3 linked regions of the Macaca mulatta genome follow. The protein of the gene in region 3 interacts with the protein of the main gene of each other region in a pairwise test. Links are inferred from orthologs where the notes say so. Each region holds a gene or a part of one and is shown on either strand. Other genes may lie near its edges. The genes, in order: SLC25A46, GCM2 and FHL3.

Evidence for each region.
Region 1: the proteins of FHL3 (region 3) and SLC25A46 interact in binary tests that used the Homo sapiens proteins (3 or more experiments, as listed by UniProt). The two-hybrid records come from large-scale screens. The link is inferred for Macaca mulatta from reciprocal best matches to the Homo sapiens genes FHL3 and SLC25A46.
Region 2: the proteins of FHL3 (region 3) and GCM2 interact in binary tests that used the Homo sapiens proteins (3 or more experiments, as listed by UniProt). The link is inferred for Macaca mulatta from reciprocal best matches to the Homo sapiens genes FHL3 and GCM2.

What each region holds. Positions count from the first base shown.
Region 1 is NC_133411.1:119,560,382-119,564,033, reverse strand, and holds part of SLC25A46 (mitochondrial outer membrane protein SLC25A46), read right to left. Parts: intron 3,488-3,652; coding exon 3,445-3,487; intron 1,795-3,444; coding exon 1,737-1,794; intron 1-1,736. UniProt on the Homo sapiens protein: Transmembrane protein of the mitochondrial outer membrane that controls mitochondrial organization.
Region 2 is NC_133409.1:172,240,836-172,244,587, reverse strand, and holds the start of GCM2 (chorion-specific transcription factor GCMb), read right to left. Parts: upstream 2,704-3,752; coding exon 2,559-2,703; intron 1,708-2,558; coding exon 1,470-1,707; intron 509-1,469; coding exon 385-508; intron 1-384. UniProt on the Homo sapiens protein: Transcription factor that binds specific sequences on gene promoters and activate their transcription. Through the regulation of gene transcription, may play a role in parathyroid gland development.
Region 3 is NC_133406.1:202,795,863-202,799,076, reverse strand, and holds the end of FHL3 (four and a half LIM domains protein 3), read right to left. Parts: intron 3,068-3,214; coding exon of another isoform or gene 3,048-3,067; coding exon 2,892-3,047; intron 2,784-2,891; coding exon 2,609-2,783; intron 1,772-2,608; coding exon 1,602-1,771; intron 1,510-1,601; coding exon 1,323-1,509; intron 1,199-1,322; coding exon 1,044-1,198; 3' UTR 521-1,043; downstream 1-520. UniProt on the Homo sapiens protein: Recruited by SOX15 to FOXK1 promoters where it acts as a transcriptional coactivator of FOXK1.

The sequences.
Region 1 (3,652 bases), on a different chromosome or scaffold from region 3:
TGTAACCCCAGCACTTTGGGAGGCTGAGGCAGGCGGATCATGGGGTCAGGAGATCGAGACCATCCTGGCTAACACGGTGAAACCCCGTCTCTCCTAAAAAAATAGAAAAAATTAGCTGGGCGTGGTGGCGGGCGCCTGTAGTTCCAGCTACTTGGGAGGCTGAGGCAGGAGAATGGCGTGAACCCGGGAGGCGGAGGTTGCAGTGAGCTGAGATCGCGCCACTGCACTCCTACCTGGGCAACAAAGCGAGACTCTGTCTCAAACAAACAAACAAAAAGTGGGTTATAACAGAGTTTGCAAGTGGGGTCCACTGACTCCTGAGAGTCCCATTACCCTTTCAGTGGCTTGACAAGTTCAAAATTATTTTCCTAATGATTACTAAGATATCATTTGCTTTTTTCACTGTCTTGCTATGTTCACTAATGGTACAAAAGCAATGGTAGGTAAAACTCCCAGCTCATTAGCACAAATTGAGGCAGCACCATCAAACTGTATTTTCGTACTTACAGTATTTTTCACCTCATTTACCCATAGGGAGAAAAAAGCAACCTTCATATAGGGATATCCTTGATGATGAAGTAACAAAATGTTAATTTTATGAATCCTTGACCTTTGAGTACACATCCTCTTTCTAATTAATATTTTGTGTGTTACATAAGGAAGTAAGATTGCTGTCATGAGGAAAGCACTTGTATGATAGAATTGCAAGCTGAACTAGCCACTTTTTTCACGGAACATCATTTTTACTTAGAAAAACTCATTGACAGACTATACCTATTCACCCTTAGGACAGACATATTTTAAAAAATAAACAAAGTGAGATTGTTGATTAAAACAAAAATAACTAACAGTATTTATTGTCAATGATAAGTTTGAATTTTCAAGTAAAACTCAGAATTTTGGAAAATCTATATCCATCGTCAAGAGCCGACAATACTTAAAGACTTTTCTAGTGAGATCAGTAGTATTTTTAATGAAGATGATTTTTTGATATTTTATAATCAAATGTCTTAACATCAGGAAGATATATATAACTCATTTGGTCAATATTTTTCAAATAACTTATGCACAATTATACAGAATCATGCATAAGTAAAAATATCTATTCAAGATGCAGTATAATTAAATAGATTTTTTAATGTAACAAAGTGTAAAGAGTTCACTAAAATGATTTCTGATTTCACATTGCAAATAACCTTTAAGAAACTACCACACAGTGAGTTTTGGTGCAATTGCAAAGAATACCCACAATTATCTCAAAAGAATATAATATACTCCTCTCCTGCTTTCAACTACACATGTGTACAAGACTAAACTTCCTTGCTTCTTTCAAAAACCACGTGATGCAACAGATTGACTGCAGAAGCATATGAGAGAAACTGGCTCTCTCCTATTATGTCAGGTGTTAAAAATATTTGCAAAAATGCAAAATACTTTCATAAAAATATATTATCTTACTAATAGATGTATTATTTTAATGAATTATATAGATACATTGAAATTTTCCCAATTTTAATTTCTGAAATGGTAAATATCAGCAGATATGACCAAAATAAACCAAAGTTATTTAGGATCCTCAATATTTTTTTAAGACTTTAAAGAGGTTTTGAGACCAAAAAGTTCGGAACATTTCACATGAAGTAACAATTACCTGGTTTCATGTCATTTATGTAAGTTCTGCCCTTCATATTAGGGTCAGAAGTATTGCTTCAAAAGATCAAAGAAATGACATTTACCTGACATTGGCGGCGTAGAACAATGCAAGGATGTGCCAATACATTTTCTGTAAAGAGACTATATAAAAATAATTTATATATATGTATGTCTACATAGAGACAAATTAAATTTACAACATGTATCTTTCTGAAATTATTCTTGCCTGAAGAATCATGCATTACTTTGTTTTCCATTCTTAAAAAAATTAAACAGATCTTTAAAAATGTCTAGAAATGTTTGCAAATGATTCTACCCATAACAAAATTCAATATGAAATGAATGAAAACCAGATCTGCATACTAGTAAATAAGGGAAACAATACATAATACATAATAGTAATGTCTGTAGTGTAAGATGAAACTAGATCTCTGTTTGTTTAATGTGGGAAATGACACATCAGTTAAATGGCATTTAATGCTGCAAATTATTTCGTTCAGAAAATATCCAATGAACAACATGCCTATCAGCAGAGCCATTTGATCTTCATGAACCCCATTCTAAAAATGTTGGTTTTGATGCACTTCAATTATAAGGTTTAAGTATAAATTTAAGTATAAACCTTAAATTATAAGATTCTTAATGACCATGTTAATTGACTAATATTTATGTATCAAATTTCTGATTTGAGAATGTGCCCCACAAAACAATTACAGCTGTGGATTTCAGGTCTCAGAGTGACATATAAATACACGTACACACATATTTATATGTAATAATAGTCTATCAAATGAATCAAAGCTTTAAGTATAAATATTGAAGCAAAAAACAACTCCAGCAGAATGGAAAACACAGATTTTATTTATATTGACATTAACACCCTCGGGTTCAATAATGCAAATAAGGTATTTTTCTTGGTTAAAATGTTTAAAATGATAGTGATCATTATGGCATGAAATGTAAGCTTTGTGCAATTCCAATATTTTTGAAAATGGTTTTCACTAAGGATCACAATAATCAAGACTAAAGGCTTTTCTTAAAATGATCGTTAGATATTAAAAAAAAAAAATAAAGTAATGCTATCACCAAACGCTGATTATGAACACAATCTAGATGCTATGCTGCTAAATATCTTATAAGCATTAGAATGTTTAGAGAGAAGCCTCCATGCACAATTACTTTTTTGATGGGAGAGAGACAGATTACATTTCATTTTATTCTTTGGATAGACCCATGAAAAGAATGAAAACCAGATCTGCAAACAGGTAAGTAAGGGAAACAATACATAATATTAATATCTACAGTATAAAATTAAACTAGATCTCTATATGTTTGACGTGGGAAATGCCATGTCAATTACATGGCATCATTAAATGCCATGTAATTTTTATTTCTTTCAGAAAATGTCCTATGAACAAAGTTCCTGTCAGCAGAGTCATTTGATCTTCATGAACCCCATTCTAAATTACTTTTTTTGATGGGTGAGAGATAAGATTACACTTCATTTTATTCTTTGGACAGACCCATGAAAACAATTACAATACTCATTACAAAATTACTTTGTGTTTATAAAATTGGATGACTAGTCTATCCTTACTGGAAAAACTATCAAATTATATGTTTTAAATAATGATCATGTTTTTTTTTCTGCAAAATATTATTCCAAATTTAAGCTGCTGCTTCAAAGAAACAACCTAAAGGAAGCAATAATAATCATTTAATATTATAAATTAAAGAAAAACTCTAAATTAAATAAATAAAAGCTTTAAACGTCTTTAGATAAAACATTACCTTGCAAGTCCAATACCAAATCCAGCAAATCTATTCAGCTGTTCTAAAGTAAAAAAAAAAAAAAAAGAAAAAAATAAGATTACTGATAACCAATATTTAGGTTTAGTCTAAAAACAATTTTTAAACATTTATTTTATTAACCTGCTGTTCATTTAAACTTCAAAGTCAAATTCTGATGGGGCCAGGGAAATAATTTAAATGAATGAAG
Region 2 (3,752 bases), on a different chromosome or scaffold from region 3:
GGCATGCTCCACCACGCCCAGATAATTTTGCATTTTTAGTAGAGACGGGGTTTCTCCATGTTGGTCAGGCTGGTCTTGAACTCCCGATCTCAGGTGATCCGCCCGCCTCGACCTCCCAAAGTGCTGGGATTACAGGCGTGAGCCACCGCGCCCGGCCGAGAAGACACATTTCTAAACCCAATTCAGCCTTTTGTGGAGTCCAGTTCTCTTTCTACATTTGAGGGGGCCTCAGAAACCCAGAAATTTTGCGTGTGTGTGCGTGTGTGTGTGTGTGTGACCACGTCATGGTCCGTCCGCAGACTCTTCAAGAACTTGAATGCCATTCTCCCTCCCTCCTTCGGATAGACAGCGCCCCGCGTGCCCGCACACACCCGGTTCACTTACCTGAGGCATCTGTGGATCGTTGATGTCCCAGCTGAGCTGCATCCCGTATGAGCACACGCCGACCGTATCCTGCACCGCGGCTGCCGGCATCTGCCCAACTCGCTCGCGCTTTCCGCCCAGGGTTCTGAAAAATAGAAGAAAAAAGGAGAGGTGCGCCAGGTGATTTTTTTCCTACTCTTTAAAGAAGAAAGTGGGGTATGTGTGTGAAGGGGAGGGGCAGAGAGAAAGAGAGAGAGATTGTTTAGAAATCTGGAAGTTGGGGACAATGGTTATGGACCCGGGCGGGGCCCTGTCCTCGGCCGCGGTGCTGAACGGTCTCCACCCGAACGGTAGCATCGACGTCTGCAGCTGATCCCTCCTTTATAAAGATGCATCTCCGGGGGACTCCGCCCTGTTTCGCCTACCTCGCTAGCGCCCACGCTCCAGGGGCCGGCCACCACCTCCACCACAGACCCAGGAACGGAGGTGGAGGTTAAACTCAGCCCTGGAAGCAAAGGGAAACTGCAGCCAGGGGGTGGGGGTGGAGAGGGTAAGTTGGAATGTATCCTTTAAGTTTAAAACCTTATTATTTTCTTCTCTTTTCTTCTTTTTTGTCTCACTCCGTTGCCCAGGCTGGAGTGCAGTGGCGCCATCTCGGCTCACTGCAACCTCCGCCTCCCAGGTTCAAGCGATTCTCCTGCCTCAACCTCTCGAGTAGCTGGGATTACAGGTCCGTGCCACCACGCCTGGCTAATTTTTGTATTTTTAGTAGAGACAGGTTTTCGCCATGCGAAACCCTTACCAAGCTGGTCTTGAACTCCTGACCTCAGGTGATCCGCTCGCCTGGGCCTCCCAAAGTGCTGGGATTACAGGCATGAGCAACCGCACCCGGCCTATTTTTTTTTTTTTTTTTTTTTTTCTAAACGCATCCAGCTTCCCTGATTTCGGAAAGGGGCTTAGATGGAGGCTTTGGAAGCAGAGGCTTTCCAGCAAAGTCCCCTGAGAGTCAACACTCAATTCCAGTAGAGCATGGGAACCGTGCATGGGCCCCTCTGCCGTCCGCGCGCTCCCTACGCTGAATAACCGTGCCCATGCCTCCTAGTTACGGGTCAGCCCATTTTGGGCCTCCATTGCCGGCTCTTCCCCTAACTATTGTGCGTGTCTCGGAGTCTTCGCTCGGCTGTTTGGGATGTGTGAACGGGCGCCACGCCTCCGCGTATGCTCGCGAGCCCAGGCGCCTTCGCGCTCCCGGGGACTTCGGAGGGACCTGGCCCTGCAGGAACGGAGTCCTACAAAGTGAACCCGGAGGAGGTGGGGGGAAATGAGCCTGGGGTAGGTAGGAGCCTGGGGAAGGACGGAAAAGGGAGAGGGGTAAAGTCCCGAAGAACTCCTAGCTTTCTCCACTGCTTTGGCTCCCTCTGGGTCTCAGCTTCCTTATCTGTTAAATAAGGGGTTATGGTTCGGGTAGCTCTCAGTTGCCACCCACCTGAACAGAACTCTTTTTGAGACGGAGTCTCACTCTGTCGCCCAGGCTGGAGTGCAGTGGTGCAATCTCAGCTCACTGCAACCTCCGCCTCCCAGGTTCAAACGATTCTCCCGCCTCAACCTCCCGAGTAGCTGGGACTGCAGGCGCGCGCCACCGCGACCAGCTAGTTTTGTATATTTAGCAGAGACGGGTTTTCCCCAAGTTGGCCAGTATGGTCTCGATCTATTTACCTCGTGATCCGCCTGCCTCAGCCTGTCAGAGTGCTGGGATTACAGGCACCGCGCCCGGCTCACAACTCTTTTAAAACTCTTAAAAAACAACAACAACAACAACAACAACAAACAAACAAACAAACAAAACTTTCCTGATATAGTCGTGGAAATTTTACTCCATTACAGTCTTGGGAGGCTTTGGGGGATTAGAGAATCGCGGTGGTGCGGGGGTGCGCAGGACTATGTGGGTTTTCCGGGACTGGGACGAAACCTTCCTCATCTGAGCAGCCGTCTCGCCCAGGGCTACTATGGCACTTGGAGACCCTCAGTTAAAAAAAAAAATCGATTGAAGTGACTAAAGTCACTCTGACTACGCCAGGGCCGGATTCTGGGCGGCCAGGGAAAAGGGTTTCTGGAATTTATTCCCCGCGCCCTTGTTTTGCAGCTGCACGCTTCCATTCCCAGCCCTAGCCAGAGAAGAGGAGCCAACTCCTCACGGCGAATTCCCTTGATAGAGGAGGATGAACCGAACCCATGACCCTCCAGACCTGGGGAGCGACGCGCCCTAGACCTCGGCACCGCAAAGCCCGCGCTCGGCACACGGACGGGTGCTGCGCGGGACTCTGCCGGGAGGGCGCCCATGCCAACGCCTCTTGCAGGATTAGTGCCTTCGGTTGGCAAAAGGCGGATAAAGGAAGAGCGAAACAACCTCAGGAAGCTAAGGGTGGTCCACACTCCCTGTCCTTTTACTTCCCCAGCCAAAGGCACAGTGAAGCTTGCTTAGAAAAGTCGATCCCGCGGCTGGGCGCTGTGGCTCATGCCTGTAATCCCAGCACTTTGGGAGGCCGAGACGGGAGTATCGCTTGAGCCCAGGAGTGCAAGACCAGCCTGGGCAACATGGAGAAACCCTGTCTCTTCCAAAATAATAATAATAATAATTTTAAAAAGCTGGGCATGGTGGCGTGTGCCTGTAGTCCCAGCTACTAGGGAGGCTGAGGCGGGAGGATCGCTTGAATCCAGGAGGCAGTGGTTGTAGTGACCTGAGATAGCGCCGATGCACTCCCGCCTGGGCGACAGAACGAGGCCCTGTCTCAAAAAAAAGAAAAGTGAAAGAAAGAGAGAGAGAGAGAGAGAGAGAGAGAGAGGAGGGAGGGAGGCAGGGGGGAGGGAGGGAGGGAAGGAAGGAAGGAAGGAAGGAAGGAAGGAAGGAAGGAAGGAAAGAAGGAAGGAAAAAAGAAAAAAGAAAAAAAAAGAAAAGGAAAGAAAAGAAAAAAGAAGAAAAGAAAAGAAAAAGAAAAAGTATCCCGGTCTGTCACAGAAGCCGGCCAATAGCAGCGGACCAGCGAACTCTGTTGGGGAGAAAGGACAACTTTGAGCAGTTCCTCGCGATTTTTTCCTCCCTTATCTTCAAGCTTGGGTCCTCCTCCCAAGCAAAGCTGAAGGGTCCTAGCAGAAGAAAGTGATGTGTTCATTCCCAGCCTCCTTTCTCCCGAAGTTCTCCCCTCCTGAAAGGTCCAGTTAGTCGTCAGGGTTTCTGATTAAAATCACTCTCAAATGGTCGCCACTAAGGTCCAGTTGGGAACGAAGAGATGTGTCTACTCTTCACCCACCAGGTTCATTCACAGATTTTCATCTTATTAACTGACTGCCAAAGGTCCCCGAAACTCCTGTTGATTCAGTTGCTTTTCGTG
Region 3 (3,214 bases):
AGACTGGGGATCGGAACCGGGTCCTTGCTCTGCGGGCTTTGGGAAGGGCTGTTGGCGGAGGGGACTATTGGTACCAGCCAATTAAGGCACCCCATCGCCACCCTCGCTTTCGTCTGGAACCTCCCCCAAACCCCTCCCTTCCCTGCATGGAGGAAAAAGCCCTCTGCCAGCAGGGAGGCAGGCCGAGCTCCAGAGGGACGGTAGCCGTGGCGGGGATCCCCTTCATGGGGAGAGACTTCCCACCCCGTGGCCCGGCCCCCCTCCACCCCGCCCTGCAAGGACGAGGTCTAGAAGAGATTCTGAGCCTCCCAGTCTGCAAAAACCCTTCCTTCCCCTTTATACCCTGCGCGCGCACGCGCACACACACACACACACACACACAGGCACACACGGAGGCCCCTGCTTCCTCACACCGCTTTATTGCAGAATCTGGAAGGGGGGTGAGCCAATCTCACCCCTCTGCCCATCTATGGGCAAAATGGAGCTGAAATAAAATGAGAAGACACTCGGTGGCCACCAGCTGGGCAGCACCCTGTACCCTAGGGCCCCCTCATCGGTGGGCCCCTGATCGCTGTCCCCACAGCCTCAGCCCCGGGGGGATGGGGTGGGGCAGGTCAAGCTTGAGAACAGTCCACTTTTGAGGACTTCTCAGGCACCCATAGGAGACCTAAAACCTATAAAGAGAAGTCTAGATTTAAGGGGGCCTAAGTCCCAGAGCCCAGGTTTGGAGGGCTGGGGTCTAGAGCCCTGATTTGGGGAGAGGACTCAGTCTGGGAACCCAGACTGCAGGGGAGAGGGTGAGTTCTGGAGTCCAGGTGTGGGGAGGCAGCTTGACTCATGGAGGCTCTATAAGAGCCCAGGTTTGGGGGCCTGGGTCAGGGAGTACCAGTTTGGGGATGCTGGCGTGGAGAAACAATCCTGGAGCCCAGAGGGCGACCCATTTTTTTTGGTTGGGGGGTGGGGCTAAGTCCCAGAGGTGGTTTAGAAAAGGAGCTACAGTCCTGGGCCCGTGGTATGGGAAAGCCTGGGTCCAGGAGCCTGGCTCAGGGCCCTGCCTGGCTACAGCCCTGGCAGAGCACTTGGTCTCCATCCGGCACGAAGCCTTGGCCCACCAGGGAGGTAGAGCAGCGGGCGCAGGAGAAGCAGTTGTGGTGCCAGTGTCGGTCTTCAAAGGACACATACTTGCCTCCACCGAGTCCTGGAGGGAGGCTGGAAGTTAGCTCTGCAGATCTAGGGATGGTCCGGCCCTCAACTTCACCCAATACCACATCCCATTCCCTTGCCTGCACCCTACCCACTCCGTTCTTTGACCCTTGTCCCACCTACGATGGGGCGCTTGCAGCTGCTGCACTTAGGTGCAAAGAGTTCTCCAAAACAGGCCACACAGTAGGGATCTTCATCCCGGGAGGTGAACTGCTGCCCTGCCAGGGGCGTCTGGCAGCCGGTACAGACCAGACATTCTCGATGCCAGGGCTGATCACGGTATGTCACTCCACCCTGTGTCAGCGTCTGTGGGGGCAGCATTCATTAGTAGGTATGAGTGGGGATTCCCACCCCACGACAGGCCTTACTCACCCCCACCTGGCTGGCCCAGCCCCCACCTTGCTGCAGCGGGCGCAGCGAGGAGCAAACTTGTTCTCATAGCAGGGCACGCAGTAGTGAGCACCCTTGTCGGGCACAAAGGAACGGGAGCCCAGCGGCTGCTCACAGCCACTGCACAGGAAGCAGTGCTCATGCCATGTCTGGCCTCCGTACTCCAGCTTCCGGGACCCTGTGGGGAACAGGGGTCCCATTTAGAGGCTGTGTCCCATGCTCCTGAGGGCCACCCTCTGTAACTTCCCCGGGAGTCTCCACTCCTCTCGCAGCCTGAGCAGGGTGGTGTCCAGTGCACATGCAGCAAGAACCCCCCTGCCCCATGTACATTACACATGCTAACCTCTCCCCAGACACCGGACATGATGACCCAGCTAGACACGAGGATTTTGGCATATGTTAAGCCCCCATATGTCCCAGAAATGACAATTTCAGCACATATCGAGCCTCCATGTAACAGTCATGAAGTCTCACTATGAGCTAAGCCCTCATATAACAGATGTGATGATTTCAGCACTCACACGGGACCCCACATGTACCAGGCAAGTAAGTATATGCCCTAATGCCCTCGGCATGACAGGTTCAGTACATGCTAAGCCCTCGCATCTCCTTGGCACACCATTCTCCATAGGTACTGAGTCCCAACATTTCTATTAGGCATGCAGGTCCCCACACATGTTAAGCCCTCTGTTTACCTGCCTCTGCACACACTAAGACCCAATGCAATAAGCACGACAGTCTCAGCACACCTCTAGTTCCTACATGTACTAAACATGCAGATACTCACACATGCTAAGCCCCCAAGTATGTATCACATGTGTCAATCTGCCTGCACATAGTAACCCCCAGTATACCAGGCAAACAGATCCTGCATATACTAAATTTCCAGAAACATGCTGTGTGTGCAGGTCTTTACACAGACGAAGTCTCCATGTATCAGACAGACACATGCAAAGACCCTATGCAGATGCCAGGCATGCCAGTTCTCACACAAGATGAGCCCCTGAGGACATACCAGGCATGACAGTTTCCCCACAGGCGGAGCACTGCGAGGAAAACGCACTGCAGTAGCAGTCATTGCAGAGCAGCTCACTGTCCTGGCAGGTGAAGGGTTCATCGGCTAGTGAGCGCTGGCAGCGGCAGCAGCGGAAGCAGCCCTCGTGGAAATGGCGGTCTTCATAGAACAGCTCCTGTGGCGAACACAGCGGGGGCACTGGCACCCAGGCCTGGTGGATCCATCCTTTGCCCCCTTCCACTGGTCACCACCCACCTCCTGCCTGGCCTGGCCCTCTCCTTACCCTCGAGTCATGCCCGATAAGCTGCTGGCACTCGGCGCAGGTGTTGGCAAAGGTATTGTCATAGCAGGGCACACAGTAGGGGCCGCTGTCTGTCTGGATGTACTTGCGTCCATACAGGGACTCGCTGCATTTTGCACAGTCAAATGACTCGCTCATCGTGGCAAGGAGAGAGAACCCTGTTAGGAGCACAAGGTGGAACTGGGGTCACACAGAGAGGCTGTGACTTGGCTCCTGGCAAATAGGCCTCTGCATTCAAAACACAGAAACAGACCCGGCATAGGAAATGCCAGTTCAGAGTAGGTGGTGATGGGGAAGGGGTGCTT